Callithrix jacchus: one gene and its partners. The protein of the gene in region 3 binds, or shares a complex with, the protein of the main gene of each other region. Links are inferred from orthologs where the notes say so. Each region holds a gene or a part of one and is shown on either strand. Other genes may lie near its edges. The genes, in order: EIF4EBP1, TARS1 and EIF4E2.

Region 1 (8,469 bases), on a different chromosome or scaffold from region 3:
TCCCAGCACTTTGGGAGGTTGAGGTGGGTGGATCACTTAAGGCCAGGAGTTTGAGACAAAGCTTGCCAACATGGTGAAATGCTGTCTTTACTAAAAATACAAAAATGTAGCTGGGTATGTGGTCCCAGCTACTTGGGAGGCTGAGGCAGGAGAATTGCTTGAACCTAGCAGGCAGATGCTGCAGTGTGTCGAGATGGTGCCACTGCACTCCAACCTGGGTGACAGAACAAGACTCTACCTCAAAAAGAAAATAAAATAGGTTGGGCGAAGTGGCTCATGCCTGTAATCCCAGCACTTGGGGAGCCTGAGGTGGGCGGATCACAAGGTCAGGAGTTTGAGACCAGCCTAACCAACATGGAGAAACCCCATCTCTACTAAAAATGCAAAACATTAGCTGGTCATGGTTGTGTGCACCTCTAATCCCAGCTACTTGGCAGGCTGAGGCAGGAGAATTGCTTGAACCCAGGAGGCAGAGGTTGCAGTGAGCTGAGATTGTACCATTGCACTCCAGCCTGAGCAACAGAGCAAGACTCTGTCTCGAGGGAAAAAAAAAAATCATCTGGGCATGGTGGTATGTGCCTGTCATCCCAGCTACCCAGGAGGCTGAGGCAGGAGAATCAACCTGAACCTGGGAGGTGGAGGCTGCAGTGAGCTGAGATCATGCCACTGCACTCTAGCCTGGGCAACAGAGTGAGACTCGGCCTCAAAAATAAACTAAAATAGTAAAATAGTAAGGCTGGGGATGGTGACTCATGCCTGTAATCCCAAAACTTTGGGAGGCCGAGGCGGGTAGATCACCTGAGGTCAGGAGTTGGAGACCAGCCTGACTAACATGGTAAAACCTGTCTCTAATCAAAATACAAAAAGTAGCTGGGCATGGTGTATATGCCTGTAATCCCAGCTAGCCAGGAGGCTGAGGCAGGAGAATCATTTGAACCCAGGAGGCATAGGTTGCAGTGACCAAGATTGTGGCACTGCCCTCCAGCCTGGGCAACAAGAGTAAAACTCCATCTAAAAATAAACAAACATCGAGACCATCCTGGTCAACATGGTGAAACCCCGTCTCTACTAAAAATACAAAAAATTAGCTGGGCATGGTGGTGCACGCCTGTAATCCCAGCTACTTGGGAGGCTGAGGCAGGAGAATTGCCTGAACCCAGGAGGCGGAGGTTGCGGTGAGCTGAGATAGCGCCATTGCACTCCAGCCTGGGTAACAAGAGCAAAATTCTGCCTCAAAAAAAAAAAAAACAAGGAGTCTGAGCACTGGAGGGAGTTTGGGATGCTCTACACCAGGAACCCCCCACCAAATGTTTAATTAGGGACACAGTGTGGAATGCTTCCAACACTTAAAAAAATTTTATTTATTTAATTTACACAGACAGAGTCTCACTATGTTACTCAGGCTGGTCTCAAACTCCTGGCCTCAAGTAATGTTCCTGCTTCAGCCTTCCTAGTAGCTGGGATTACAGGAGCGAGCCACTGCACCCAGCTCCCTCAAACACTTTAAAAGGAAGCTCAGGTCAATGTGAGAAGAGGGCCCATTGTTTCTCCCTCACTGCATTTAATGTCCAGACTCTTTTAACCGATCCTTAATAATAACTTCTTCCCTCTTTTAACCGATCCTTAATAATAACTTCCTCTATGTGACTACGGCCTCAGGACATGGGCTGTGCTGTGGCTTTGGGGCCCAGTCTACGTCCCCCTCTTCCCAGCACTGTTTCATGTCCAAAGACCTGGGAGCTGTTCCAAGGTAAGCTTCCTGGGCACAGACCTTGTTTGCTTAACCAAACAGGGTGCCATTAACACCTGCAGCCCTACCTGCTCACCTCTGATTCACCTTATCCAGGCATAGGTCTTAGGCAGGACTGCCATCCAACCCTGTTTGTAGGCTTCGGAGGCAAAGAGGTAACGTGGAGCTGGGAATGGGGAGACTGATGAGGGAAGGTTTCTTTCTGACCCACTCAAAGGTTCTACTGGCTAATGGGCAGTTTACGGTATTGCTGGATATTTCCAAGACTCCACAGACTCAAATATTCATACATGACACTCCCTTTGGCAAAATTCTCTTAAGTACTCCAGACAGCTAACCTCAGAGCAGGGCCTCAGTGTGCAAATGGTTAATGACCATGAAAAGCAAACTGGAGGCCAGGAGAAGTGACTCATCCCTGTAATTCCAGCAGTTTGGGAGGCCGAGGTGGGAGGACTGGTTGAGCCCAGGAGTTTGAAACCAGCCTGAGCAACACAGAGAGATCCCCCCTCTACAAAAAAATTTAAAATTTAGCAGGGCATGGTGGCACGTGCCAATAGTCCCAGCTACTTACAAGGCTGAGGCAGGAGGATCACTTGAGCCCAGGAGTTTGAGACTGTAGTGAGCTAGGATCATGCCACTGTACTCTAGCCTGGGTGACAGGGTAAGACCTTATCTCAGGTTAAAAAAAAAAAACAAAACAGAAAGCAAACTGGAGTTATAGAAATGGGGATAGTTCAACCCAACGCCTGCTTCTTTCCACCCACGGACAATCACTTGAGGGCTATTCCCAGCAGGAGTGATTGGTGGGCATTTACTCCATTCCTGAGAAGCTGACAGTCCCTCTAAGTAAGCAGGTGCAGACACTCTATCAAAAGCCCAGCTTTCCACACCATGATTTAGAGATGGATGCTGAACCCAACTTCAAAATTTATCTCAAATGGAACCATCTTTTTTCCCCCCAGACTCCAGAGATCTGAAAGGTAAGGGAAGTGATGTTCCACTAATTCCTGAGTACTCAGAGTGTGGTATGTGCACTACTCACTGAGAGCTAGTTAGAAATGCTGACTCTAGGCTGGGCATGGTGACTCACGCCTGTAATCCCAGCACTTTGGGAGGCAGAGGCGGGCAGATCACTTGAGGTCAGAAGTTGAAGACCAGCCTGCCCAACATGGTGTAACATCCGTCTCTACCAAAAAATACAAAAATTAGCCAGCATGGGTGGCATGTGCCTGTTGTCCCAGGTATCAGGGAGGTGAGGTGGGAGGATCGCTTAAACCCAGGAGGTGGAGGTTGCTGTGAGCCAAGATCGCACCACAGCATTCCAGCCTGGGCGACAGAGGAGACCCTGTCTCAAAAAAAAAAAAAAAAAAGAAAGGAAGGAAGGAAGAAAGAAAAGAAAGAAAGAAAGAAAAGAAATGCTGAATCTAGTCCCCACCCCCACCTACAGAATCAGAATATACCTTAAATGAAGACCCCAGTTATCCTTATGCACCTGGAAGAGTGAGAGGCAGTATTCTGGTCTGGAGCCAAAGGGTCCCAGGATGTGACCATTTCAGCTTCTCTGCCCTGGCAGAAGTGGGCTAAGGTGGGCTTTGGAGGAAGAGTCCACACCTTGGCTAATCGAGGCTGACCAGGCTTGCTTGACTTTAGTAGAAGTAAGCCGGATTTCCCTGGCTTAGGGACTGGGAGCTGTACCTGCTCCACAGGCCGCCCCAAAGAGTGAGCTGGCTTTAGGTTCCTGGCACTGCTAGCTTCTTCCAGTAATCTCAGAAACATATGCCATGTCCCAATGCAGAAGCCCCTTCTCCCTTCCTGCTACTGCTAAAGACCTTCAAAGTGAGTGGGATTTGCTGTCAGCCCCCTGACTACTCTCCACTTCCCAATCCAAAGTGAAAAGTGGATTCAAAGTTCCTATATTTTACATTTATTATTTATTTTAGAGATAAGGTCTGCAGTGGTCAATCATAGCTCACCACAGCCTCCAATTCCTGGCCTCAAGCGATCCTCTGGCCTCAGCCTCTGGAGTAGCTAGGACAACATTCTTTTTGTTGTTGTTTGTTTTTTTTTTGTAGAGATGGCATCTCACTATGTTGCCCAGGCTGGTCTTGAACTCCTGGCCTAAAGCAATTCTCCTGCCTTGGCTCCTCCCCAAAATGCTGGGATTACAGGCATGAATCTTGGTACCTCGGCCAGAAGTGCCTATAAACAGTATCCCTGGCTTCTAATTTGACCCAACAATCCAGCAACAAAGGGTGCAAAAAGAGGCTCCCTGTTCCTTCAGGCCAGCCTCAGGGCCCACCCTGAACGAATCCAGCAGACACTTACCCCCTCAGTTGAAAGAACTCCAAAAGTGTCAGGAATTGGCCTGGTAGACCATTGTGACAGAGACAAAGGAGAACAGCATGGACTACAAGTGAAAGAGGATGAGTCGGGAGTGGCAACAAGAGCGCCTGCAAGCTTCTCCTCGGATCATTTCTAACAGAAGAGGAAGCATTCCTCCTTTCTCTGCCTGGTTGCTATTTCTTGCCCAATCTGGGAAAACGGTGTGACAATGGACACGTGTTCCAGCTCTGAGGCCTCAGTGCCTGGCTCTGTAGAACAGGCGGCAGAGTTGGACAAGATCCCTAACCGTTCTAACAGTGTATGTTTTGGATCGAACGGCAGAGGACCTCGGATCCGGCTGTGCTTGCTGCCGGTGGGGCAGAATCTGCCTGAGAAAATAAGCATTTGGCCCCCACCGCCACCGAGCCAAGCGCCGGGATCTGTCGCGTTTTCCAGTAGTTTGGAAAGCAGCGTGGAGGAGGATGGAGGCAGAGGAGCAAAAGGAGTGGGGGCAGTGCAAGGATGGGACCGAAGTGGTGAGCCACGAGGATTTATTTCATCATGCAAACAGGAGCGTAGGTTTCATCAGCGCCTGTGCGCTGCGGCTCCGGGGCTGGGAGGGAATGCCAGGTTCCTGAGGGCAGCCCGAGGCTGTCCACCCCACCCGTGCCAGCTCAGCTTCCTCTTCCTCATCCTCTCCCAGGGAGGTCACACGGTGCCTCCTCCTCCCCCCGGACAGAAGAACGTGCTTTTCTGCACAGCCCGGCCCGTGGCGACAGGCCCCTCCGCGGAGATCTCACTTGCATAAATGGGGAACGTGCCACAGGTGCCCGGGAGGTGCTGCTGGAGCAGGGGAGCACCCGCAGACCCAAACCTCCGTCAGAGCGCGAGTGTCCAACGCAAAACTAGGGGTGCCTCGGGAAAAAATCAGGGCCCTGTAGAAATCATTTATCCCAACAGATAAATAATAAATTTATCCCAACTCATCCCATAAAAACACCAGGCCGAGCCTTTCTTGGATCGTGGGCCACACTGACCCCGCCCTATCCCGCCTGGGGAGCGCCCCCAACATCCACAAGGGGCAGCACAGCTCGGCACGTGGCAGTCCTGGAGGCGTGCTTGTTAGTTAGGTGTCAGCTGTCTGACACCTAACAGAAAGAGGAAACGAACGGGGCAGTTTGCAGCTCCGGTCTGGACGACGCACTCGGAGGACAGCCGGGCGGTCACTTCCATGACCCTCGCTGTCTCCCCGACGCCCCTTCTCCGTTCTTCCCAGCCACAGCACCCTTTAGCCTGGACGCCCGGTCCGATCCGCGATTCCCAATCCTCCCGCCCTCCCGGGAGCCGGCACGCGGCGTCCCCGAGCCAGCGCCTACCTCCCGGGGTGGTGCTGAAGAGCGTGCCTCCGGGGGTCGTACTGTAGTCCCCGGGCGGGAGCTGCACGCCGTCGCCGAGCACCACCCGGCGAGTGGCGGGGATGGCTCGGCTTGGGGTCTGGCTGCAGCTGCTGCCCCCGGACATGGTCTCCTGTGCGCTGCAACCGCGAACCTCTCCCTGCCCTCCCGCGCCTGCAGCCTCGCTCCGCCTCGCCCCGGCCCGCCCCGCCCCAGGACGCCCCTTCCGCCTCTCCAGGCCCACGCCCCTGGGATTTGTAGTCCGCGCCGCAGCCCCACCCAGCTCCAGGCCGCTGCTTGCACGTGGATTCTCCTGCCGCCCCCCGATCCACGCCCGCCTGCTCACGGGCTCCTCCATACCGCCCCCCAGCGACTGCTCCTCCGCTCTCGGGTCCCTCGGCGCCACTCTGGCAGGGACCCGGGTTGGGTGGCGGGCGGAATAGCTCGCCTATGTTAATCCTTGTCTGGGTTGGGGGCGGTGACTCAGGACCGCGCGGAGATCCGAGCTGACCCGGCCCACTGCAGGAAGGCCCGGTTTCTGCATTAAGACTTCAGGCCGGGTGTACCCTTTGGCACTCCCTGTTCGTTGCCTCAGTTCCTCAGATGAGAAAGTGGGATTGACTGGTCATGCTCACCCCACCTCAATTTCTTGACCTTGATGGGGATGGGTGTGGAGGGACTAACAATTCCGCTCCTGGCCTTTAGAGAGGAAGAGAAGGGGTGGGAGGAGTGAACCAACCAGCAGCGTCCTGGGAGCTAAATTTAGAGTTGGGGGCGGCCGGGAGGGGGGACGCGTAGGGGAGGAGTAATAGTTTGTCCAAAAGGTTTCCCGATAGCCCCTGAATTGGGTCCAATACCCACGCCACTGCCTGAGGTTTAGTAGGTACTTCTTGGTTGAATTGACGGATGTTTAGTAGGTACTCTTTGCTGGATGAATGGATGCATGCATGGATGATGTTCAAGGGGAGAGAGAAAAATGCAAGAAGGACCGAGGATGGAAAAACTTGTTGGGTTTGAGAAGTTCCTATCATTGTGTGCACATGTTGTGGGGAAGAGGGTGAAGAAGAGAGGACGGTTCGAAAGGGAAATTGGGTGATGCACCTGTAATCCCAGCTGCTTAGGAAGCTGAGGCTGGAGGATTGCTTGAGCCCAGAAGTTGGAGGCTCCCGTGAGCTGTGATCACACCACTACACTCCTCCTTGGACAGAGACCTTATCTCTAAAAAATACGTAATAATTTTTCAAAAAGGAAATTGGGGTCAGGTCGTTGAGTTTTTCAAATCATGTCAAAGTGCTTGGACGTTGTCTTAGAGAGGCAGGAGACATCAGAACTCTTTTAAGCGGGGGAATGACATGATTAGAGTTGTTTTTTTGGAACGATAACTAGTGGCCATTGGAGTTTTGGGATGGGCCAAGGAGGGCAAGGTCCGAGATGGGGAGAGCTGTTGAGTTTGGTCTCACTTTTTTTTTTTTTTTTTTTTAGACGGAGCCTTGCTCTGTTGCCCAGGCTGGAGCGCAGTGGTACAATCTCGGCTCACTGCAATCTCTGCCTCCTGGGTTCAAGTGATTCTCCTGCCTCAGCCTCCTGAATAGCTGGGACTACCAGTGCCTGCCACCTAATTTTTTTAATTTTTAGTAGCGATGGGGTTTCACTGTTAACCAGGATGGTCTCGATCTTCTGACCTCGTGATCCACATGCCTCAGCCTCCCAAAGTGCTAGGATTATAGGCATGAGCCACCGCGCCTCTGTCACTCTTGAGCTAAACTTTGACCTACAGTGGCTAACACAGTAGCCATTAGCCACAGGTACACACTGAGCACTCCAAAGGTGGCCAGTCCAAACTGCCACAAGTTTAACATACACAATATTTCAAAGATTTAGCGTGAAAAAAAAAATGTAGAATACCTGAATAATTTGTTTCTATATTGATTATATGTTGAACTGATAATATTTTGAGTATACTGGGTTAAGAAAAATACATTATAGGCCAGGCACGGTGGCTCATGCCTGTAATCCCAGCACTTTGGGAAGCCGATGGGGGGTGGATCATGAGGTCAGGAGTTCAAGACTGGTCTGGCTAAGATGGTGAAACCCTGTCTCTATTAAAAATACAAAAATTAGCCAGGTTAAAAAAAAAAGGGCAGGTAACTCGATACAAAAGCCAGCAGGTTAAGATCTGAGAGGAACTTGTCTGTTTACCCTTTGGGGTTCCATAAGGAAAAACAGGGGCTTCTCCTAAAAAGAAGTCTGGCATCTTCTCTGTTTTCTTTAAGGACTCCCAAGCTGTTTGAAATTTATTATTATTATTATTATTTTTTGAGATGGAGTCTGGCTCTGTTGCCCAGGCTGGATTGCAGTGGTGCGATCTCGGCTCACTGCTATCTTTTCCTCCCGTGTTGAAGCGATTCTTCTGCCTCAGCCTCTCAAGTTGCTGGGACTACAGGCACCCGCCAGCACGCCGGCTAATTTTTGTATTTTTGGTAGAGATGGGGTTTCACCATATTGGCCAGAGTGTTCTTGAACTCCTGCCCTTGTGATCGACCCACCTTGGCCTCCCAAAAGGCTAGGATTACAGGTGTAAGCCACTGTACCTGGCTGTTAGAAATATTTAACATCCCTCAGGCAGCAGAGGGTGACAAGAGGAAGGAGAGACGGACAGAAACACATGAAGAAAACAGAATTCAGAGAGAAAAACACCTAAAGACCTTTTAAATATATATCTAGGCCAGGCGCGGTGACTCATGCCTGTAATCCCAGATCTTTAGGAGGCTGAGGCAAGAGGATTGCTTGGGCCCAGAACTTTGAGGCCAGTCTGGGCAACATGGGGAAACCCATCTCCTAACCTCATGATCTGACCACCTTGGCATCCCAAAATGCTGGGATTACAGGTGTGAGCCACCGTGCCCGGCCTGAATTTTCTTAAAAATCTTTAGAACCCTCCTAAAATCATCCACACTTCCCCACTTCCCTTTCCCCTAACAAAAAGGCTGTATAACTGTTGGG
Region 2 (7,682 bases), on a different chromosome or scaffold from region 3:
TTTAGGGCACAGATTCACATTTGCAGTCTTTTCCAGCTCAGTACTGCTGCAATTGGGTAGCTAACATTTATTGTTGTCTCATTGTCATATTTGAAATCTTCATTTTGTCCTTCATTTAGGGAACATAATAAAAGTGCTTGCCTTAGAAAATTAAGAGGTAAATCTGAATAAGTCTTTTCACTACTAAGACACTTAAGTGGGGAAAATGTTTTGGGAATTTTATTAAACATTGATTAAGGAAGTAAAAATTACTTTCTAAATTATGAACACTTTATTTTATGTTTTATTGTATTTTGTTTTATGTTAAGATGGAATCTCGCTGTGTCACCCAGACTGGAGTGCAGTGGCATTATCTTGGCTCACTGCAGCCTCCACCTCCCGGGTTCAAGTAATTCTTCAGCCTCAGCCTCCTGAGTAACTGGGATTATAGGAGCACACTACCATGCTCAGCTGATTTTTGTATTTTTAGTAGAGACAGTGTTTCACCATGTTGGCCAGGCTGGTCTTGAATTCCTGGCCTCAAGTGATCTGCCCATCTTGGCTTCCCAAAGTGCTGGGATTATAGGTGTGAGCCACTCTGCCTGGCCTCTAAACTATGAACACTTTAGCTAGATACATACATTTGACAAAGAAATTTGAACCTTATTTCAAGGTACTCCACTTATTAAACAATTTCTGTATTTTTTTTCTCATCTTAAGATGCAAATCTGCTAGGTAGCACTATAAAAATCAACCTACATTTAATGACAAGATTTTATTTCTCCGTGGCTATGTATCATATAAGGAGAGACAAAATATTTTGTTTTAGTTCTGATTGCTCACTTATGTATGTGGATCAGTGGTTTTCAAATATATTTTGGAGCCCACAAGTTTCTTATGAGAATTTTTTAATGTCACTTTAGTACCTTAATAATAAATCTTGAAAATGTTGCTTTGGGTGTATTCTGACTCATCCCAGTGATTACTGTAAAACCAAGTACTGCCATTTGATTTCAGCGTGCAGATATGTGTCCTTGTGTTTTGTCATTGTGTTGTGGGGTCAGGTTGTACCACCTTTGTTTTGGGCCAGTAACAACATATAATTTCTAAGTGATGTTCCATAGCCAGCTGAAGGCCAGATCACAGTGTCTGAGACATGGTGCTGTGAGCACATTGACTCAAAAGAACCTGGGGCATTGCAGTCAATGAGACAGTCACATTTTGAGTAGTGATTGTTTTCAGAGAACAAAGTCAATGCCATTTAATTAATGATGCCAAGTTTAGTTTAATTTGTTTGAAAACAGCTAAACCAGATGATTTCCAAAATAAAAATACACTTCAGTAATTGGAAGCCTTTTGAATAAGTTTGGCTATGGATAGAAACACATAGTAGTTTGTAGATTTAGAAATTCAGATTTTTATATATTGGGTTTACTTGTAATAAATATTTTTTGTCTCCTTCCACATTAATTCACAGCTTGTATGCCAATACTCAGAACATGCCACTTTTCTTTAAATTTTCAGGTGTATTGGCACTCTAGCGCTCACATAATGGGTGAAGCCATGGAAAGAGTCTATGGTGGATGTTTATGTTATGGTCCACCAATAGAAAATGGATTCTATTATGACATGTACCTTGAAGAAGGGTAAGCTATCAACTAGATAAAGACAAATGAAGTAAATGACGGTGGGTCCCCAGATTATTTTTAGCATTCTCAGTAAACGAGGAATGATACAGAGCTCACTGCTTCTTAGTCATCAGGTATCCCCATTATCAGTACTTGAAGTGTTGCAATTTTCTTGAAGTTATAGAGGATTTCATGAGATCTCTGTTCTAGATTGATGGAGGTAGAGTCCTAAGGTATTTTGGGAAATTCAAGGAGACTGATCCTCCCCTCTCTTTTAAAACCTGGTGATACAGTTGCAGGAAGGGGGTCACTAGTGAGAAAAGTCTCTGTGGATAATCAAGGTAGAAGCCACTGAAAATATAAAATGTAAAAATTACTTAGGAAAAATGTTTTGGTTTTTTTTTTTTTTAGAATTTAGTCTAATTTTTTAGTATTAAAAGCCTTCAAGTATTCAAAATACTTTTTCCAAATACACATTTCTCTAAGCCACGGTGTGATCGAATGGAATAAAAAGATTATACTTTGTTCTTCTTCAGGGGCGTGTCTAGCAATGATTTCTCTTCTCTGGAGGCTTTATGTAAGAAAATCATTAAAGAAAAGCAAGCTTTTGAAAGACTGGAAGTTAAGAAAGAAACTTTACTGGCAATGTTTAAGGTAAATTGAATCACAGTGTGTGCCTCCACTGTTACACCGTTTATCTATGGTAGTTGAAGTGACACCACTGGGGTTCAGTGTAATAAGATGAAGCCTATTTGGTTCTTTAGAAAAATGTAAGTGTTTTTATTTATTTATTTTTAATTTCATTTTTTTCCTAGCAAACCATTCCAACGTGTTTTTAAAGCATTCACTGTCAACATTTATATTCATACAGTGCTTTGTTGCGATATACTTTGAGTTACGTTTTAGCTATAGTACTTAGAGGTAAAAATTAAAGGACAGTTTTTTAAAGAAATATTTTTTCCTATTTTCAGTACAACAAGTTCAAATGTCGGATATTGAATGAAAAGGTGAATACTCCAACTACCACAGTCTATCGGTGAGAATATTACATATCATTAGATGTATCTGGTGTGTATGTCAGTTTGTCTTTGTTAAAATTCCTTTCATTTTATCTTTAGGTGTGGCCCTTTGATAGATCTCTGCCGGGGTCCTCATGTCAGACACACAGGCAAAATTAAGGCTTTAAAAATACACAAAGTAAGCAATGTAACTTTAAAGATTATGTGAATGTATCTGTCTAGAATAGATACGTGTTTAAACTTTCACTGATTTCTCTTTATCATTTTCTGTTGCACATGAAAGGATGATATATTTTCTCATGCTATCTATTAGCTGGGAGCTGTATGCCATCAGGTTTTTATAGTTGAAATTCCCTCAAGGAGTGACTGACTGGCCAGAGCAAGCACAGGGGATGGAGGTTTTACAGAATCATACAGCATGGGCCATCCTGGCTCTGAAAGTTCTGAGACTCACTGTAGAAGTATGTGCTTTTGCCCTTTATATGTCTAAATTAATCATTTCCCAAGTTATTTTTTTGATAAAACCCAGTCAGTTTTATACTAGTTCATAAACATTTTATGAAGGTTATTAAAATGCACTTTAAATCAAGAGAATAATTGAGTCATTTCAAGATTTTTTTTTAATTGGTTCATTACTATTTCTGCTCTATCATTTTGGGAGAAATGCCTCTGCAGGCAAAGTAATGTTTGTGGAATTGTGGTTGATTGAGTATTGAGGGGTGGGCAGTTTAGGGGTGTTGCCTCAAACTGGGTCTCGTTCTCTTGCCCCAAAAAGACAGAATAGAGGACCACTTGCGCCTGGGAAATGGAGGTTGCAGTGAGCAGAGATCCGTACTCCAGGCTCAAGTGGTCCTCCCGCCTCAGCCTCCTGAGTAGCAGGAACCATAGGCACACACCACCATGCCTGGCTAATTTTCCTTTTTTTGTAAAGAACAGGGTATCCCTGTGTTGCCCAGGCTGGTCTCGAAGTCCTGGGCTCAAGCGATCCTCCCGCCTCAGCTTCACAAAGTATTGGGATTACAGGCGTGAGCCACTGTACCCACCTGCGGATTGAGGGAGGGGCATTTTCAAGGGAAGAAAACAGCCAACTTTGTGCTGCAGAATGAGTAACTACTCTAACAAGGCCTCAGAGCAATTGGGAGTTAAAATAAATGAGATGTTTACAAATTTGAATGTTGTTTCATCGTTAATCCTTGTTTTCAGAATTCCTCCACGTACTGGGAAGGCAAAGCAGATATGGAGACTCTCCAGAGGATTTATGGCATTTCATTCCCAGATCCTAAAATGTTGAAAGAGTGGGAGAAGTTCCAAGAGGAAGCTAAAAACCGGGATCATAGGAAAATTGGCAGGGTATGTTCAACAACAATGATGTGTCTAGACTGAGTTATCTTCAGTTTCATTTGAAGTTTGAAATTTAGCTGTATGAAGTGCTAGGAATTTTGTTTTGAAGAGATAATGTAGCGTTTTAGTAACTGGTGCTATGTCCTGTACAAGCTGTAAATACTTACTCATTGTCCACATTATCTGCCTGGAGTGTGTTCAGTACCATTCAGAAATTCATTTGAACTACTTTTATTGAGAACAAATGCTGATTTGATCTATAGTTTTCCATAAAAGAAGCATACAGCTTCTCGTAGAGCTGGGGAAACTAGACTTCGGAAACAATTTAGTCTTCCTGACTCATTTAAAATGTGGAAACAGTGTCCCACAAAGGATAACCTACTTGTTGCCCAAGGTACATAGCATGTCACACATGGATTCTGTGCTGTCATTTCCTCTACCCATTATCTCTGTTACTCCTGAATGTCTTCTGAACTAGAAGTTGGGCTCAATAAAACATTTCTCCCTAAAATAGTCACTCTGTGCCTGGAGTCTCTAGCTGTTAAGTTATTAAGCTTGAGCTGGAGATATCAGCCATTCCCTTGTACCCCTGACTACCTGATATTCCAGCTATGAGGCAGCCAGCAGTGATTGGTGGGCCCTTCCCTGGGGGCTTTTGGGCATTTGGCTGGTGTGGGGGAGATGCTGGGCAAGAAGGTAGGAGGTGTATTTCTTTAACCATGACCCAATGTCAGCCAACTTTACCATCATCTATTTCATTATCGGTATTTTTCCTAGTCTCCTTCCTCACCCACCTATTAAGAAAATAAAAAAGAATGAAAATGAAAAAACATCTAGACCTTGGAGCTTTAAGGAATTAAGAACCATAAGAGGGACTGCAGTGGATAGTAAGAGAACTGAGGGATCCTTACTCCCTGTTACGTTGGGGAAACTTGATTGGATTGAGGAATGTGACAGGAAGGGCATGTGTTACACATCTGCCAAATTGTAAATCAGCTGCAATTCTGAACCACCAGAAACACTGATGTGGTTTCTCTGATTCAGAGTTGGCACTGATTGAAATATGGCACATCATGACCATATTCTGAGTTCAAGAATACTGAAATTTATGTATATATATATATATACACACACACACACATATACATGACATACATAAACATTTTTTTGCTTTTCTTTTACCCAGGACCAAGAACTATATTTCTTTCATGAACTCAGCCCTGGAAGTTGCTTTTTTCTGCCAAAGGGAGCCTACATTTATAATGCCCTTATTGATTTCATTAGGGTAAGTCATATTTACTGTTTTTCAGATTTAGGATATATGATCATTTTTATTAAATAAGGTCTACTAAAAGGAAGGATAATCTGTATTTGAGAAGAAATATATAAAATAATAAGTAAAAGCAGAAGTCTGTGGTCTTATAAATCATTCCTAGTAGGTGATTCGCCCTTATACAAAGAAGCTGGTGAGCATGAAGGGGGACCTTTGGTCCTTGATGTAGGAGTCCTCTTTGACTTTGATCATTCATTTGTATTTTTTTGAAAAAACAGTTTTTATGTTGCTTTTTTCTTTGTAAATTATGAAATGTTTGAAATACAAGTTTACAGAGAACAGTATAACCACTATCTTGTGTACTTAATACCCAAACTTAACAAATACTTATATTGAGCTATATTTGCTTGAGATTTTTTGTTCACGATATTTAAAAAAGTTGCTTAAAAGCCTATCTTTAGGACCCTCTTCTGATGTATATATCTCCATATACTGGTATATTATATATATGCTTATGTTGGCATCTCTTATACCAGTTTTGAAGTTGGCATGGATTCTTTTTGTTCATGTTATTTACATCTAGCCTATGTATTTGTACACATTTATTTATGTATTTATGTGTTGCATACAGGAAGCCTCACTGTGTATCAGACTGCACTGTGATTTACTTTAGACATACAAATCCAGTGTATTTTTGCTTGTTGCATATTATTTTGCTATATAACTACCACAGTGCACTCATCCCTGTATTGATGGACGCTGATGTAGAATTGTCCCTTACTATCAGCCATGCTGTGGTAGCATCGCTTTCATAACCCTTCTTATCTGCATGTGCTGAGAGTTTTGTCTTTGGTATGTACTTAGAAGTGGGATTTCTGAATCATGGCATGTGTGCACATTTTTCATGAGAGTATAAAATTGCTCTTTCAGTTTTTATTCCTACTTGAAGTGTAAGCCTTTATCTGCCTACACATGTGTTCTGTTTATTTTCTATCAGAGCGAATATAGGAAGAGAGGATTCCAGGAGGTAGTAACCCCAAACATCTACAACAGCCGACTCTGGATGACCTCAGGCCACTGGCAGCACTACAGTGAGAACATGTTCTCCTTTGAGGTGGAGAAAGAGCAGTTTGCTCTGAAACCGATGAACTGCCCAGGACACTGGTATTTGGCAGCTTTGAATTCCTGTTAAAGATTTTCACAGGCTACAATTCATCCTGGGTTCTGTCTCTCCTTTAACAACATTTTCGTTAAAAATAAATTATGTGTCAGAAGAGCATTTAAATGCAACATCATTGTTGTATTATATCTTCTATGCCTGATTAGATCCCCAGATCTTTTTTTTTTTTTAAGAGACAGGTCTCCCGACGGGAGTGCTGGTGTGCAATCATAGCTCACTGCAGCTGGGACTGCAGGCACATGCCAACATGCCCAGCTAACTTTTTAATTTTGATTTCTGTAGAGAGAAGGTCTTGCCACATTGCTCAGCCTGGTCTCAAACCCCTGTCCTCAAGCTCTCCTCCCATCTTGGCTTCCCAAAGCGCTGGGATTACAGGCATGAGCCACCATGCCCAGCTAGAGCTCTAGATCTATGGGCATTCAGTAATGATACTAGGAGTATAGCAGTGAGCAAGGCAGAACATAAAGATGGAATATGGGGGTGTAACAAATGATCTAATGTGTTTTTTTTGTTGTTGTTGTTGTTTTTGAGACAAAGTTTCGCTCTTGTTACCCAGGCAGGAGTGCAATGGCGCGATTTCGGCTCACCGCAACCTCCGTCTCCTGGGTTCAGGCAATTCTCCTGCCTTAGCCTCCTGAGTAGTTGGGATTACAGGCACGCGCCACCATGCCCAGCTAATTTTTCGTATTTTTAGTAGAGATGGGGTTTCACCATTTTGACCAGGATGGTCTTGATCTCTTGACCTCGTGATCCACCGACCTCAGCCTCCCTAAGTGAAAAGAAACTTGTTTTGTCAAAACCTACTACTAATAATTCAGCATTCTTGGAAAACGTTCCTTGTCGTGAGGCTGCTCTGCTTTTTGTCTTTGAAAGCTGGGTGAAGAGCAGCTTAAGGGAAGACACAGAAAGCTGTGGATAAAGGTAGCTCAGTGTCCACAGTTCCTACTAACAGGCCTGTAGGGCACGGGAGCTGAGAGAGGAATCTTCGTGAAGAAGCTATATGATAGGCCATGGAACCAACCAAGTTCACTCTTAATTTTCCCAGATAATTCAGTTTCTGAAGTACCGTCAGACTAACGAGGAAGCTGGAGCAATTTTGAGACTGACAAGGGAGCAAATCAAACTTTATTTTCCAGTGTTATAAACAATTTTGTATGTAGCTTTTTTTTCTCTTTTTATTTTTGCAAGATTTTTTTTTTTTTTACATTTGATCCTATTAGAGGACTCTTAATAGTAGTCTTCAAATTAATGAAATATGGGTC
Region 3 (7,682 bases):
TACAGGGTCTATACAGCAGTATGATCATAGCTTATTACAGCCTCTAACTCCTGATCTCAAGTGATACTCCTATCTCAGCCTCCCGAGTAGCTGGGACTACAGGCTCATTAGTGTTTTGATAGGAGAAATAACTTCCTTATTCACAGAGGATACCTACTAAGTACTGGCCAGTGAAGAGGTACACTTTAAGAGGAAAGAGAAAACATGGTGCAGTCTGATGAGAAATAGCTAGTATTTGCCAACCTGCTGAGGAGCTCGATATCAACATATAGCAAGATACCATAATTGTGGAGCTGACAATGGGTATTGAGTAGACAAGATTCAGGTCATACTTCTAGATCTGAGGAGCACCCAAGGAGAAATCAACCTTACACTGTGTGAAATGGCTGTCCCTTTAGTTCCTCTCTAGCACAAGAATATGTGACACATCTTACATGTTAAATAGAAGTCAGAAACTATAGGACTTCAAAGCAGTGCTTCATATCTCAGCAACTGCTAAGCTTAACTGCATGTAGTGATTTGGGATAGCAACTGGTCATATGAATACAATCAGCAATAATCTAAACCATTATCCACCCTAACATAGTTGCAGAAAAACCACATCTCTCCACTAGAACCAAGTACACCCACTAGTGGCTCACTGTGAATAAGGAACTGAAAGGGGCGTGGAAAGGAGAAAGTATACCAACCATTTCCAATTCCCCAGTCAACAATCACTTCAACACTTTAGTCTCCTCCAATCTTACAACTATACCACTACCTCCAAGGCTCAAGCAATCCTCTGGCCTCAGCCTCCCGAGTAGCCGAGACAAGTGGACACCACCATGCCCAGCTAATTTTTTACTTTTTTTTGGTAGAGATGAAGTTTAACCTGTTGCCCAGCTGGTCTTGAAGTCCTGGATTCAAGTGATCCTCCCTCTTTGGCCTCCCAAGGTTCTGGGACTATGCCTGGCCTAAGAAGTATTATTAAACTTTAAAAGATTTATTTGGATAGTTCTAACTGAAACCAAAAAATAAGCATTCAGACTCAGAATATGAGGTGTAGAAAGGACCTCAGAAATAATCTCAACAACTTTACTTATTTTATAGTTGAGAAAACAGTTACAAGAGTTGCTGTAACCCAGACAGTCAAGCACCAGAAGAGGTTAGCTCTGATGACCAAGTCCAGTGCTCTTTCCATTTCAAGATGATACCTTCCTAATCATGCTGACTTTAGTAACTTTTAAATGTTGTTAATTATTAGGCTAAGAATCACTGGGAAACGCTGCTTTGAATTCAATAAAAGGATTCATCATGTAATTATTTCTTTGTGATGAATTTAACATCGTGAGCCATTTCCTAATGAGGTCTGAATTACATGACAGACTGTATTTCTATTTTTCAGATCCAGACCTACAGAGTCAAAATGACAGACTTTAAATACTGTCACACATCCAGTGAGCAGTGATGAAGCCTTAACCCAAGACAGTCCTGATGATAAACCACTCCTTAACATATATGTCAAAAGGAAAGAAAAGAAAAACCCTCCTTGTATAAGCCAGGTATTCATATATGCTTTTTCACAAAAGGGAAATAAAATTGCAACCCACCTTTTTTTTTTGAGACAAGATCTCACTACGTTGCCCAGGCTAGTTTTGAACTCCTGACTTCAAGCGATCCTCCTTGGCCTCACAAAGTGCTGGCATTATAGGCATGAGCCACCAGGCCTGACCAAAATCTTTAAAATCAGTAGTAAACCTGTATCTTCCAAGGCAGTATTCCTCAAACTGGAATCAAATCCTTCTTTCCTCCAAACTCCAAGAGCACTCTACATGCTTTCCCATAGCACAACTTATTGTCTACCCTGTATTAGAAATTCTTGGGCACATCTTATTTCCCCAAGGACAGGATCTGTGCCTTTATTCCTTTTAGAAGCCTACTAGGGTCTGGAATTCATTCAACAAGTATTTCTTGAACCAAATATGAACCAGTGCACAAACTAGTTATATTATTTTAACAAAGCTGTTTGATACTAAGATAGCACTGGTGAACTAAACAATATCTTTGCTTTGGGCTGAAATTTTATCTGCTCAGCAGAGTAATGATGTTGATTTCATATTAAGCAGATTATTACTGAGTTGTAAGAGTATTCTAGATACAAATTCCTTATTAGACATGATTTGCAAATATTTTCTCCCATTTTGTAGCTTATCTTTTCACTTTCTTGATAGTGTCCTTTGAAGCAGAAAAGTTTTGAATTTTGATGAAATCCTATAGAGATGGGGTCTTACTATGTTGCCCAGGCTGGTCTCGAACTCCTGAGCTGAAGTGATCCTCCTGCCTCAGCCTTCCAAAGTACTAGGATTACAGGCATAAGCTACCATGCCTAGCCTAATAGTTAATCTTTTGCTCTTGTGCATTTAGTGTGTTATTTAAGAAGGCTTTGCCTAACCTAAGGTCATTAAGATTTACTCATATTTTCTTCTAAGAATTTTATAATTTTAGCTCTTACATTTATATCTATGATCCATTTTTAGTTAATTTTTGTGTAGGGTGTCAGGAAGGAATGCAAAGTCGTTCTTCTGCACCTGGAGATCCAGTTGTCTCAGCACTGTTTGTTGAAAAAGACTATTCTTTCTTGGTACCTTACATTAGTCATTTATTATAAACAAAGGATACAGATGAAGAGATGTGAAGGGCAGGGTATAGGGGAAGGTGTGGAGAAAGGCACAGGGAGCTTCTATGGCCCCTCCAGGTGTGACACCCTCCAGGCACCTCCATGAATTCAGCTATCGAGAAGCTTCTATACTTGAGTTTCAATTATACTGGCTCCCCAACTTAATCCAGTGAATTATGAAAATTAAAAAACTTTTTTTAGGCAGGGTCATCTCTGCTGCCCAGGCTGGAGTGCAGTGGCATGAACATGGCTCACTGCAGTCTTAACCTCCTGGGCTCAAGTGATCCTCCTGCCTCAGCCTCCTGAGTGGTTGGGACCACAGGTCCATGCCAACATGGCCAGCCCTTTTTTTTTCTTTCTAATGTTCCCCATCTCTCCAAGCCAGTTAATTTAAAAGCTTTTTGTAGAGGCAGAATCTCACCATGTTGATGAGGCTGATCTCAAACTCCTGGCTCAAACAATCCTCGCATCTCAGCCTCCCAATATGGTGGGATTACAGGCATGAGCCACCATGCCCTGCCAATTTGAGACTTTAGATCAGATATATAACCCAAGTTTTACTTTCCTCATTTGTAAAATATAGATTAATACCACTGACCTCATAGGCTATCATAATGATTGAAGGAAATTACATAAACTTAATACGTATTATGTGTCCTTCCTCCTTAGCAATTTGTTGTTGTATTTCCTACTGAAGAATTCTTTTCTAGTTTCTGCATTTCAAATAGGACTAATACTTCACTAATGTCAAGAAAATGACAAACCCCACATTTGATTCTGCCTAGAGATCGAATGTACAGCATACAGGGGGTACATAATAACATTTGTTCAACTGGCGTGGGGTTAGTTGGAGATGGATTCTTGGGGTACACAAACCAAGTCACCTGGGAGAGAGATGAGATGGTCTGGGCTCTCTGTACTGACATTATCCGCAAAAGCAATTATTAGAGATTTCATTTTCTTTCTGAACACAAGAAAAACATTTACGCATTATCATTAACACAGCCAAAACCCTAATGGAAGGTTCTTAACTATAAAACTTTCAAAATTTTTCATTTTACTGTCTAACTTCATGAGGATAGACACCATGTACTATAAACTTTGGTATTCATGACACTTTTAACTTGGTAAGGACTCCCTAACTACCTACTTAAAAAAAAACCCTGAAAAACAAAAAGAAACAGTGCCAGGTGCTATGGCTCACTCCTGTATGTGAGCAGTTGAGGAAGCCAAGGTGGGCGGATCACCTAAAGTCAGGAGTTTGAGACCAGCCTGGCCAACATGGCAAAATCCCATTTCTACTAAAAATACAAAAATTAGCTGGGCATGGTGATGCACGCCTGTAATCTCAGCTACTCAGGAGACTGAGGCAGGAGAACTGTTGGAACTTGGGAAGTGGAAATTGCAGTGAGCCAAGATCACACCACTGTATTCCAGCCTGGGTGACAGAGCGAGACTCTGTCTCAGTTAAAAAAATAAAAATAAAAAAACCCAAACCCGTACTTTTGTATTATGCCCTTCTGATCAACTCGACAATTCTCATATTTGTTGATAACTACATGTTAACCATGGATATCTAGTGAGAAACCTAAGATTGAACAAATCTGACCTCGGAGCCTCAGGTCAGTAAATTAAGGAAACCAGAATCCTAAATAGGTTACTAGAAAGGTAAATAAACATCATATCAATACAGGCATGAATGAAATGTCAAGGCGCACGTTATTAAACCACCAAGAACTCACAGAAGCAAAGGTGCCAATCTGTTTGATATTCTGTTCATAGCTCTGTGAGCTGGTGGGACGGCCGGGGGTTCTCCTGGAGTACCAGAAAGTGTAGTTGTACTGCAGGGGGTGCTCTGCCGGTCCAGGGACAACAGCCTGGGAGGGAAGTAAAGAAGGCGTGTGAGTCCTGGCATTTGCCACATTGTCTGAGACTGACAGAACAATTTACAGTGTCAATCCTTACCACTCCCACAATTAAAAGAGTAAATACAACCTTAACTACCTGCAATGTGCCCACGATTCTGCTCACACAGTACATTTCCTCAGTGGTTAACTGATTCTAAATTCCTGTAACACTTGTGTTCTTATGGCCTTTGTAATTTTCTCCCTCATATAATACTAGGTATTCATGTTTGTATCTTATCTGAGCATATGCCTAGTTCAAGCACTGCCTCCTCTATAAGATTCATCACAGGCAAGTTACTTAACCTGTTTGTGTCTAATCTTCAAACCTGCAAATGAGGAAAATAATAACAAGAGGATCAAATGAATTAACAAATACATGATGCTGAGCACAGTGCCTGGCGCACAGTAAGTGCACAACAGATGTCAGCATTGTTATTATTGGTACTATTAAATGTAAGTCCCTGCCACAGTCTCATTCACCTTTGTGTCCTCTTAGCATCTAGCATAAAATGGCTTGCCCTTGGAGGGTTACTCAATATTGTAGAATAAATGAATTAGCGATTGCTTTGATATTTCAAGGAAAAAAATTGATCTCTCTCTCTCTCATTCACCAAGTTTTCCCTTTTCCAAATTGCTTTCACCTTAGACTAATGCTGACTAAAATTTCAAGGAGTGTGTAGGATTTGGAACCCTCAGCAGTGGCTTATGAAGCAGCTAACAACCTTGTGAAGCTCTAGGGCTAATTTCCCCTATGTCAGGCTAGGAGAATGCTGCAAGCAAGGCACCATCTCAAGATCCTGTGGTGAGAGAAAAGCTCTAGGTCTCAAAATGAACATCCATGATTGCACAGTGTTTTTCTGAGAACAAAGATATTCCAACACAGGATGCTAGTCAGGTTAATCTGGTATCTTCCAGATAAACAGATTCCATAAGATAATCAAATCTCAAGTTCAAAGGCAACTACATCTGTGCAGTGCAAAACTCACCTTTCTCTTGCTGCTGCTCTGACTCTTATCTCGCTCTGTTTTTTCCTTCTCACCATCTTTCGGTGTGCTGTTTTCTTCATTCTGGTCATGGTCCCCACTGTCATCATCTTTCAAACTGAATACAAAGGCAAAACAATACAATTCTGTGACCAAGTCAATTCTTACTTACCGAACAAAGCCACCAGGTCATATGAACTACTATGTAAACAACCCAAAGTCACTCAAATGCAGGCTCTGAGATGTGAGAAGGGCAAGAGAATACAGACAGGCAAGTTAGGAGGATTAAACAAAAATGAAATGCCCATCAGCTAACCTGTGAGCTCCAGAAAGCACTGCCTTTCAGTCTTCTAAAAAGCCACACGAAGAACCAGTTATTGACTGCTGGAGGTAGACAGTTTAAGGGATTGTTTTCCCTGCCAAAAATGGAGTAAAAAATGAGAAGAGTCTCTAGAAGACTAACTGCTTTGGCATTTCAAATGAAGGTTACAAACCTACTATCCACTTTGCCGCTTCTACACTTTTCCACCGTTACTACTTTAGGCTCTTCTCCTGACACCTCGATCATATAATAAATTCCTCAGTGGTCTTCCAGACATAAATCTCGTACTCTCTGTGCATCCTTTCACCAGCATTATCTTTTTTAATATACATTTTTTTAAGAGATGGGGTCTCGCTATGTTGCCCAGGCTGGAGTGCAGTGGCTATTCATAGGCGCGATCTTACTACTGATCAGCACAGGCATTTCGACCTGCTCCATTTACAATCTGGGCCGGTCCCCCGCTCCCGGGAGGTCACCACATTGATGCCGAACTTAGTGCAGACACCCAGTTGGCATAGTGCACTACAGGCCAGAACTTCTGGGCTCAAGCGATCCTCCCACCTCAACCTCCCAAGTAGCTGGGACTACAGGCAAGCACCACTGTGCCTGGCCAGTATTATCTTTTTAAGTGCAAATCTGACATTTAACTTCCATGCTTTAAACTTGTAATTGTCTCTTACCTTTTGATGCCTACCCTCTAAGATAAAGTTCAGCAAAATGTAAGACCCTCTAGAATCTGACTCCCGCCAGCCAGGATCCTCCTTCCTGCCTCCTCTAGCAATCTATATTCCCATATTGGTGCCATTTGCAAACACTACCCCTTCAGTCTACCATGCCATTCCTATGTCCGTTTTTCCTACTAGACAGAGGTCCTTTAGAGCAGTGTCTTATTTCATCTCGGCATCTCCAGCACCCAGGGCAAGATGCTGCCTTAACATGCAGCACTAGAAGATGCTGAATAAATGCTAAATCAAAAGGAAAAATAAATGACTGAAAAAGGAGTGAATATGTTCTTACTTCATAAGCAGTCAAACGTACTTTAGGGATTACCCTTTTATGAGCAGCGAAACTACTCAAAGGCTTTCAGGTACACCTAAAAAAATCACTGGATCCAGACAAAAAGATAAATGGAAAGATAATAAGAAAGCCATTTATTCTAGGGCTGGACGATTAACTCATCACAGATCTCTGAAATCATCTTTCTCGCCCCAATGACTGTATGTGTGGTCAAATGAAGTTAGGCAGTTCTCAAGAATGGTACTAGAAATGCTCCAATTATAATTCAGATACTATCCTATGCAGATACATAAACATGTTACAGAGTATTTTGTATTTGTGGTCTGTTTTTTTTTTTGCCCATGTATCCCCAGTGCCTAGTACATTAAAAGCACCCAGTAAATATCACAATGAATGAGCTAGTCACATGTTGGGGCTGATTAGCTCTGCCCATTTCATGCCCGCAGCATGCCTGCTCTGCCCATTTCACAGCCCTAGCTATAGAACATGCTCAGGAGGTTATGTTCTGTGCCATGAACCTTCCCATCCCCACCCTGGTCAAGACACAACTAGGAAGGGCACCTGACCAAATGGCAGTCCAGCCTGGGCAATAACCTATGTCCCAAGGCCTTGCTCAAAATATGAGCAGATTCGTCCCCTCAGCATTTCATCCAGGAGATGAAAGATCATACACTCAAGAGGTGAGGGTGCCATATGGGCCTCATGCAAGAAAAGCCCTGAGAGAATTAAGACAATGAGAAAAAGCAGAGAAAGCCAGTAGGAGGAAAAGAATGAAGCAAATGAGCAAAGAAAATGGA

Evidence for each region.
Region 1: the proteins of EIF4E2 (region 3) and EIF4EBP1 are in contact, whole or in part, in a crystal structure (PDB 5NVN), measured with the Homo sapiens proteins. The link is inferred for Callithrix jacchus from reciprocal best matches to the Homo sapiens genes EIF4E2 and EIF4EBP1. Residues at the interface, in NP_004837.1 of Homo sapiens: Glu53, His54, Pro55, Leu56, Gln57, Tyr58, Tyr64, Arg66, Lys83, Gln84, Ile85, Gly86, Val91, Glu92, Gln93, Trp95, Arg96, Phe97, Ser99, His100, Met101, Val102, Leu107, Phe113, Glu149, Asn150, Leu153, Gly157, Glu158, Gln159; in NP_004086.1 of Homo sapiens: Arg51, Ile52, Ile53, Tyr54, Asp55, Arg56, Phe58, Leu59, Met60, Cys62, Arg63, Ser65, Val67, Thr68, Lys69, Thr70, Pro71, Pro72, Asp74, Leu75, Pro76, Ile78, Pro79, Gly80, Val81, Thr82, Ser83.
Region 2: the proteins of EIF4E2 (region 3) and TARS1 are in contact, whole or in part, in a crystal structure (PDB 5XLN), measured with the Homo sapiens proteins. The link is inferred for Callithrix jacchus from reciprocal best matches to the Homo sapiens genes EIF4E2 and TARS1. Residues at the interface, in NP_004837.1 of Homo sapiens: His54, Pro55, Leu56, Gln57, Val91, Glu92, Phe94, Trp95, Arg96, Glu149, Asn150, Leu153, Leu156, Gly157, Glu158, Gln159, Met161, Val203; in NP_001245366.1 of Homo sapiens: Pro51, Glu52, Tyr53, Ile54, Tyr55, Thr56, Arg57, Met60, Tyr61, Ile63, Leu64, Glu67.

What each region holds. Positions count from the first base shown.
Region 1 is NC_133514.1:38,880,159-38,888,627, reverse strand, and holds the start of EIF4EBP1 (eukaryotic translation initiation factor 4E-binding protein 1), read right to left. Parts: upstream 5,656-8,469; 5' UTR 5,594-5,655; coding exon 5,449-5,593; intron 1-5,448. UniProt on the Homo sapiens protein: Repressor of translation initiation that regulates EIF4E activity by preventing its assembly into the eIF4F complex: hypophosphorylated form competes with EIF4G1/EIF4G3 and strongly binds to EIF4E, leading to repress translation.
Region 2 is NC_133503.1:171,861,163-171,868,844, reverse strand, and holds part of TARS1 (threonine--tRNA ligase 1, cytoplasmic), read left to right. Parts: intron 1-1,503; coding exon 1,504-1,625; intron 1,626-2,143; coding exon 2,144-2,261; intron 2,262-2,578; coding exon 2,579-2,643; intron 2,644-2,725; coding exon 2,726-2,804; intron 2,805-3,829; coding exon 3,830-3,976; intron 3,977-5,153; coding exon 5,154-5,252; intron 5,253-6,237; coding exon 6,238-6,404; intron 6,405-7,682. UniProt on the Homo sapiens protein: Catalyzes the attachment of threonine to tRNA(Thr) in a two-step reaction: threonine is first activated by ATP to form Thr-AMP and then transferred to the acceptor end of tRNA(Thr).
Region 3 is NC_133507.1:153,932,492-153,940,173, reverse strand, and holds part of EIF4E2 (eukaryotic translation initiation factor 4E type 2), read right to left. Parts: intron 5,665-7,682; coding exon 5,550-5,664; intron 4,534-5,549; coding exon 4,399-4,533; intron 1-4,398. UniProt on the Homo sapiens protein: Recognizes and binds the 7-methylguanosine-containing mRNA cap during an early step in the initiation. Acts as a repressor of translation initiation.